Linked DNA regions of Tribolium castaneum. Each later gene encodes a partner of the first gene's protein in a complex. Links are inferred from orthologs where the notes say so. Each region holds a gene or a part of one and is shown in the gene's direction. Other genes may lie near its edges.

The links. The genes of interacting proteins can lie anywhere in the genome.
Region 2: the proteins of me31B (region 1) and Gyf are in contact, whole or in part, in a crystal structure (PDB 6S8R), measured with the Drosophila melanogaster proteins. The link is inferred for Tribolium castaneum from reciprocal best matches to the Drosophila melanogaster genes me31B and Gyf. Residues at the interface, in NP_523533.2 of Drosophila melanogaster: Tyr274, Ala275, Phe276, Val277, Glu279, Arg280, Gln281, Lys282, Val283, His284, Cys285, Thr288, Leu289, Ser304, Thr305, Gln306, Arg307, Leu310, Leu311, Lys314, Glu317, Leu318, Phe370, Pro420, Ile421, Lys423; in NP_001162827.1 of Drosophila melanogaster: Glu344, Asn345, Pro347, Glu348, Trp349, Ala350, Ile351, Glu352, Pro354, Ser355, Lys356, Leu357, Gly358, Gly359, Ser360, Phe361, Asp362, Ala363, Ser364, Gly365, Ala366, Phe367, Gly369.

Annotation. Positions count from the first base shown.
Region 1 is NC_087402.1:3,103,515-3,107,614, forward strand, and holds the start of me31B (ATP-dependent RNA helicase me31b), read left to right. Parts: upstream 1-1,287; 5' UTR 1,288-1,422; exon of another isoform or gene 1,423-1,560; intron 1,561-1,844; 5' UTR 1,845-1,966; coding exon 1,967-2,019; intron 2,020-2,073; coding exon 2,074-2,155; intron 2,156-2,386; coding exon 2,387-2,555; intron 2,556-3,340; coding exon 3,341-3,897; intron 3,898-3,946; coding exon 3,947-4,100. Other genes in the region: KIF-binding protein, read right to left, coding at 1-32, 78-279. UniProt on the Drosophila melanogaster protein: ATP-dependent RNA helicase which is a core component of a variety of ribonucleoprotein complexes (RNPs) that play critical roles in translational repression and mRNA decapping during embryogenesis, oogenesis, neurogenesis and neurotransmission.
Region 2 is NC_087402.1:9,995,144-9,998,661, reverse strand, and holds part of Gyf (GIGYF family protein Gyf), read left to right. Parts: intron 1-1,214; coding exon 1,215-1,598; intron 1,599-1,651; coding exon 1,652-2,591; intron 2,592-3,518.

The DNA of each region.
Region 1 (4,100 bases):
ACCAAGATACAGGTACACACTTCCCAACATTGCTAAAATTATCACCTTCAGGCAAATTTACAACAATGTGGCACCACCTGTTAGTTTTATCTTGTCATTGTCTGGCTGAGTTTCTATCACATTTTCTAGACTCGCTTTCATGCTGACTAGGGTCTCGCTGGCCGCATATTTCGACACGAAAGGCTGATTTTCAGGGTCGTATTTACTGTCCTCGAGTAACTTAAGGACCTTATTGAATTTTTCCTCTAAATCGACAAAAACCTCCTTGCTTGCAGTCATGACGTATACTGAAAATTATTGCAAAATGTAACTCTCCAAAAATGCGGCAATACAGTTATTACCGAAATCTCAATTTTTTGCTAAAATTCTGTTTATTTGTTATTAAAATGACCGACAAATTGTAGGTTAAATAGCTGTCAAATCATGGATGAAAAAGGTGGTGCCAGGGTGGTGAAACCTAAATGCACCAAGCCAAGTATAGGCGCCAAATTCAAAATCGACTGTAGTTCGGCTTGCTATCGCAGATGTCGCACACACGTATAGTCAATTTTAGCGAAGCTACCTATAATATCGGCAGAAATTAACAGTGGACCTGTGACAGTTGCCATTGTGTAAATCGCCATTTTGTGCTTGGTTTGTTTGGTGTTCGCCTTCGGCTTTGTTTTATGTGAAATTAGTACTGTTTTGTGGTTTTTTTCGTGTGTGTGCTTTTTTGAACTTTTTTATTGTGGGAATATAAATAATTTGATGGATCAATCATTAGTTTATAGTTATCGTATCGTGTATATTGACTAGTGATAATAAATTTTTATTACAAGTTTATTGTCTTTATTTATTCTCATATTTTATTTTTCGTATTCTTTGTAAATATTCAGCAACAATAGTTGTCTAACATCAGAAAGTGTTATTAGCAACTATTGTTGTGAATATTTACAAACAATACGAAAAATGCAATCAAACTTTAAAAGAAAAGTAACTACGGGCAATTCAAATCGCCCGCCGATAACGCTTAGTACGCGCTGGCAACAATAGATGTGCTAGTGACACTTTCGCTCTATCGGGACAAGGACAGATGCGTTTCTGTAAAACCTGTTATTCTGTGGGTGGTGCCAGAGAACAAGGTGGTGCTGTGGGTGGTGAGAAGAGAACAAGGTGGTGCGCGCAATTTGAACGCTTTTTTGTGAGCTTTTTACATGAGTGGTTACTTAATTTTATTATGGTTGAAGGAGACGGACCCTATCAGGGGCGCTTTGTTATCACTGCCATAAAAAAATTGTATTTTTTGGCCAAAAATTTCAAAAATTCTTTGATTTTTTCCGATTGTTTCTCGCGCCATCTCACGGGTTGTCCTTTGGTTAGCGGAGCATCCTGGCATTGCAGATTCGCGGCCATTGTTAATTGCTGAAAGTCATTTTCCTTTTGGTGAGTAAAGCGTCCATATCAGTGGTAAAAGTTATTCGAAAAGAGCGATTTGATGCAAAAATCACACATTATGAGCAATGTCTGAGTATTTCCCAGGGTGTCTCGACGGTATTCCTTAAATTCTTTGTCCAGAATCAGGTAAATTTGCGTCGTTGTGCAATAATTTATGTGTAGTCGACGGTGCACTGTACACAAGAATCAGTAGCCATTTTAATTAGAAATCTGAATCCTGTTTATTTGTTGCAATCGTCGAACTTTTGGCCGTTTTTGAGGGTTTTATTTCCGTATCGCCAGTGAATGTTCATGACCTGGCTATTATTGACACTGCAACAATTACGGGATGTTCTATTTTTGTGGTTATATCTATTCCGTATTGACCTTAAATTTTCTGCGTCATTGATGTTTAAACTGGGATTTTGCAGATTATTATCGTTCCTGTGAGGGATCTTAGGAACTGTACTTATCCTACACATTGTAGAGGAAGAAGATTTGGGTTTTATAAACCCTATTTTTTAATACACTTGCAATAGTATTTTCTACAATTATGATGACGGACACATTGAATTCGAACCATGTGATGGCTTTGTCAGGCAAAGTGTAAGTTGTTTGCTTATCATTAAGAATGTGCGGTGACGAACCGCTTCCTTGCAGTGATATTGACACCAAAATGGATGACATGGGATGGAAAGCCAAACTGAAGATTCCACCCAAGGATAGGAGAATACAGACCAGTGTAAGTTAAAACTCACTGCTTTGTACGTTCACGGTCACTTGGAAGGCTTTGGGTCACTTGCATGTCTAAACCGGGAATAATATTCAAAGCTTTCCATTATTAACATGATGACACTATGGATTCCCCTTCATTTTTCTTATAAATGATAACGTCTTGCCTGATTTCATGCATTTCTTTCACCATTCGTGCAAAAAAGGTGTTACCGTTATTTTATCAAGTATTTGTTACTAGGATGTGACTGATACCAGGGGAAATGAATTTGAAGAATTCTGCTTGAAGAGAGAATTATTAATGGGTATTTTTGAAAAAGGGTGGGAGAAACCGTCTCCTATCCAAGAAGCTTCTATTCCAATTGCGTTATCTGGCAAGGATATTCTTGCAAGGGCAAAAAATGGCACAGGTATGTTTTTTACTCAATGTTTAGTGCATATTTAGTAAGCCTGTTCTGTTACTCAATAATTGGATGGGGGGACAAATATGCAAAACTAATGGCTTGATTTTTGCTAATAGTCATATTTATTTTTGAATATGACGCAAAAAATCACATACAGTAATTTGCGCTTATGAAATACCAGCTCGAATAAGTGGGCGCTATAAATCAGTCAAGCTACTTTATTTGGTAATTTAGTTCGCAGAATTGAGCTTTTTTGTACAAAATTTTTTTAACAATCAAGTCAATAATAAAACGTTCTCTTTTTTGTAATTCTGATTGTACTTTCTTAATTTACTAATTTACTTGTGATGTCAAAAAATACGTGTTATTATTAAACTGTCCTATTCTAAAAAACACGCGATGTAAAAAATTAATTTGTGTTTTTTTTTATATTTTCTTTCACTACATAAGCGGTAGTTCGAACCGAGACACAGACAAACACCAGAAATGTTAAAATCATCGTTATTTGTTCACTGCCTATTGTAAATTGGGTGACCTTGTTTACTTGTATTCGTTATGTACTCGAAATACATTACCTCTCTAGCTCACTTGTGTTTGTTTGCTTATCTTTTTTGGATGTAATACTGTTTATTGCATTTATCATTATACATATATCATATCAGATATACCAAAAACTGGAAATTAGTTACAAATCAATATTTTTATAATAAAAAAAGACAAAGAAGAGGGCCAAACTTTTACAGACATAATCTAAAAATTGGCTGTCAATTATTGAATGCTTTGGTCTTCAGGTAAAACCGGTGCGTACAGTATTCCCGTGTTGGAACAGATCGATCCCAAGAAAGACTGCATTCAAGCACTGATCATAGTGCCTACACGAGAGCTCGCGCTTCAAACGTCACAAATTTGCATTGAGCTCGCTAAGCACTTGGACGTGCGCGTGATGGTAACGACCGGTGGAACAAATTTAAGAGATGACATAATGCGCATCTACCAGAAAGTACAAGTTATTATAGCAACGCCTGGCCGCATCCTCGATCTGATGGAAAAGGGTGTCGCCGTAATGGACCAGTGCAAGATTCTAGTTTTAGACGAAGCCGACAAGCTTCTCTCACAAGACTTCAAGGGGATGCTCGACACTGTGATAAAGAACTTACCGCAAGAGAGACAAATACTGTTGTTCTCCGCCACGTTTCCTCTCACAGTTGAGCAGTTTATGCGAAAACATCTCCGAGATCCGTACGAGATCAATCTCATGGAGGAGCTCACTCTTAAAGGTGTCACGCAATACTATGCGTTCGTTCAAGAACGTCAGAAAGTACACTGTTTAAATACTCTGTTTTCAAAGGTTGGGCTCTTGGTATTTTGGTTTATTTTTTCTGACAGTTTTTTTCTAGTTACAAATAAACCAAAGCATAATATTCTGCAATTCCACGCAACGTGTCGAATTGTTGGCGAAGAAAATCACCGAACTTGGTTATTGCTGCTACTACATTCACGCCAAGATGGCTCAAGCGCATCGCAACAGAGTATTCCATGATTTTCGAGCTG
Region 2 (3,518 bases), about 6.9 Mb from region 1:
TCAATTACAATGTCGCTTGGTGATTTGTCAGTTTAGGACTAGTAAGCAAACAGTTTTAGCGTAAAACCGTATCTATCTACATCCTCGAAAAAGTCGAAAATATGGACATTTTTGTCTTTTTCCTGCAGTTTTTGCGAAAATTTGCAAACTGATCGAGCTTTATTTGAAAAACGAACTTTTACATTGTATACAGGCATAAATAACATTATTTGAACTACCATATTATTTATATCTTTGATTTAGTAATTATTATTTGTCTTGTTTTCGTTCTAATTTTTTGAGATAATTACGTTTATGATGAAAAACGTGCTAATGGGCCGTGTGAATAAAGTGATGTAAATGCTTTTGCTTGTAATAGTAAAAGATAGACCTAATTTATATTTTATTATTATGAGTGAGAAAGAGATAAAACAATAGTAAAAGCTTTTACTACATTTTATTCATTCTACCTAATGTGCTGGAAGAGAACAAAATAATGGGATTTTATTTCTATCTCAATCTTGCAAAAAAAAGGTAAAAATACAATTATTTCGTACAGATTTCGTGGTATCATGACAAAAAAACATTCCAAACACTCGAAAGACACACATTGAAGTAACCCAAGTTGGTAACTTTCCGAATCGGTTAGTGCTTGTACGTTTTAAAAAGGTGTTTACGACCAATTTTGGTGATTTTTGGGTTAGTTTTAGCTTAATTGCTACTAAAATTCTGCGATTTTTTATTATATATTTGACGAAATTTTGTGTTAATAAATATCAAAAAACACCAGAAAAAAATACAAATTGATTTCATTTTCAACCCGATTTGTTGATTTTTTGACTCGACTTAGCGCAAAAATTAATTTTGAGCATAAAACGTGTTTCATATTTAAAATAAATAAAAACATTTCATGCTGTGATCAATTTTAACTCCTTTTTGCTAATTTATGCATTACACAATGCGTAAACAGTGGATAACATGTCTATAAATAACTCGTCTAAAAATGCCTTGACTCAACTTAAATTGTTTCAGTTTTTTTTAAAATGCTTTGAAAGAAATCGAAACGCAATAATTTTAAGGACCGGTTTATAAAAGCGCATTAATTTAATTCGCAATTAAAAGCGTGATTAACTGATCACGTGATCAAATGGAATTTTAACAAAGCTTTCTATAAACCGGTCCTAAATGAAGTAATACATTAAGGTGACTGAAGTATGGCTTATTTTTTTGTTCAGAGTAATAAGCTCCCAGGTTCAGTCCTGGTGGACAAACCTCCCAGCAGTGTGCCTAATCAGCTCGATCCTCTTCTCGTTCAGATGGGAAACATGCATTCGCTGCAAAACCGAATGCAAACTCCTGGTCTCCACAACCACCTCCCAGGGAGTGGAGTTCCTTCAAATCTAACATCGTCTCTACCTCCCGACGGCTTGGGTAACACTTTGCCAAATTTACAAACATCCCCAATTCCAACATTACCTGGAATGCATGGGAATTTACCGACTGGTCTTCCCGGTCCTATTAACGTAAATCGCCCCTCAATGGATCAATTACCACCAGGACAAGACAACGATCCAATTACAAATTTCCTGAAACAGTTCCAGCAACAGCGACAATTGCCTGTGAGTCTTTTTGGGCGATTTTTGCGATGTTTTGTTAATTTTTGCGATTTTAGTTGGATTCACTCTGGCAGAAACAAAACCAATTCGGTGCGCCCCCGGTGAGTACCCCAAACCAGTGGCCCCAACAGACTGATGCGAGCATATCAATGTGGGATATGCAAACACCTGAAGGGGTTGAAAAACCAGTCCAGGATAAAGAACAAGAGAAAAAACCGAAAGAGGAATTATCACAGAAAGAATTAAAGAAACGAAAAGAACAGGAAGAGAAACAAGCGAAGAAAGAAGCGGACGAACGCAGAAAACAAGAGCAAAAGAAGCAGGAAGCGGAGCGCAAAGCCGCCGAAGACAAGAAGAAAAAGGAGGAGGAAAAAATAAGAAAGGAACTAGAAAAGGCGAAGAAAGAAGCAGAGGAGAAGCGACTTCGGGAACTAGACGAGAAACGAAGACTTAAAGAACAGAGGAAAGTCGAAGAAGAAATGAGAAAAAAGAACGAGGAGCTCAAAAAAATCGAAGAAGAGAAAAACAGACGTGAGAAGGAAAAAGAAGAGAAAAAGCTGGCAGAAGTGGCAAAATTGAACCAGAGCCAGGCGAGAGGTGCTTCCAAAACGGCTCCATGGTGCCAATCAAACTTCACATCAAATCTAAATTTGACCGATATTCAGAAAGCAGAGAAAGAGAAACGTGCAATGGAAGCGGCTCTCCAACTCCAAAAACAACAACTTCAAGAGTTGCAACAGCAACAACAAATTGAAAAAACCGGTGGTCTTCAGTTGAATTGGGCTAAGAAACCGATTGAACCGAGGAAAGTTAAGTCTGTTGCTGAGATTCAAGCCGAAGAACAGGAGAGATTAGCAAAGTTGACAGCTGAGGCGAGAATGGCTGCGCAACTCAAAGAAAAAGAAGCTCCAGTTTCGAATTCGGGGAGCATTTGGAATGGTCAAAGTCTGACTTGGGCAAACGCTTCCTCAACCTCGCAGTGGTCGACGAATTCTGGTGGGTATTTATCTAACACACATTCATAAATAACTCCAATTTCAACACTCGCAATATTTTTAACAAGTTACATTTAAATATTTCCGTAACGACTAAAATACGTGTTAAAATTAAAACACTCGAAAGAAGCTTCTTGGGACAAAACATCATTTTTGTCCTAATTTGGGGATTTCTTGATACATTTTTTGACGAAATTTTATCCTATTTTGTGCCTGGTTAAAAACCATCCTAAAACCCTCAAAAAAGACAAATAATGGTTATTTTATTATCCAAATATATTAACTAGCGGCTCAGTTTAGTACAAAAATTAAGCTCCAATTGAAGGTTTGCCGCTAAAAGGCAAAAATAACACATTTTTTTATTATTCACATTTGGTTCGTCTTGGTTTTGACTAAACATTTGACATAATACGTGCTAAAATGGTTAGAAGATACAGAGATATTTTTTTGGATCTGATTAATGACCGGTATATCGAAATTTTGTAAAAAATTAACTCTAATTCAGAAATTTATTGGTGTGTTGTTGACGAAATTTCATGATAAAACTGCGTGTCTAACTGAGAAAATGTTCTTATATGCTCTGAAAACAGAAACTAAGATAATTTTTGACCCAACTTAGTGATTTTTATCTCTAAAACATGATTAAATGCGAGCAATATATTTTTTGGACCAATTTTAGTGCTTTTTCAGTTCACTCAGTTTCTTTTCGCAAACGAACTCAAAAATTATTTTCAATTAGGTAATTTTTCGGCGTATTTTTGAATGACGAGGGTCAAAATTTGAGTTTCTAATCGAAAAACGCTTGCGTGGTGGCAAAAATATTGTCGTGATCTTTGCCCAACTTATCGAAATTTGGCAAGAAAAGTTATTAACTTCAAAAAGCACATGTTAAAAATAATATTTTTGCTGCAATTCAGTGATTTTGTTA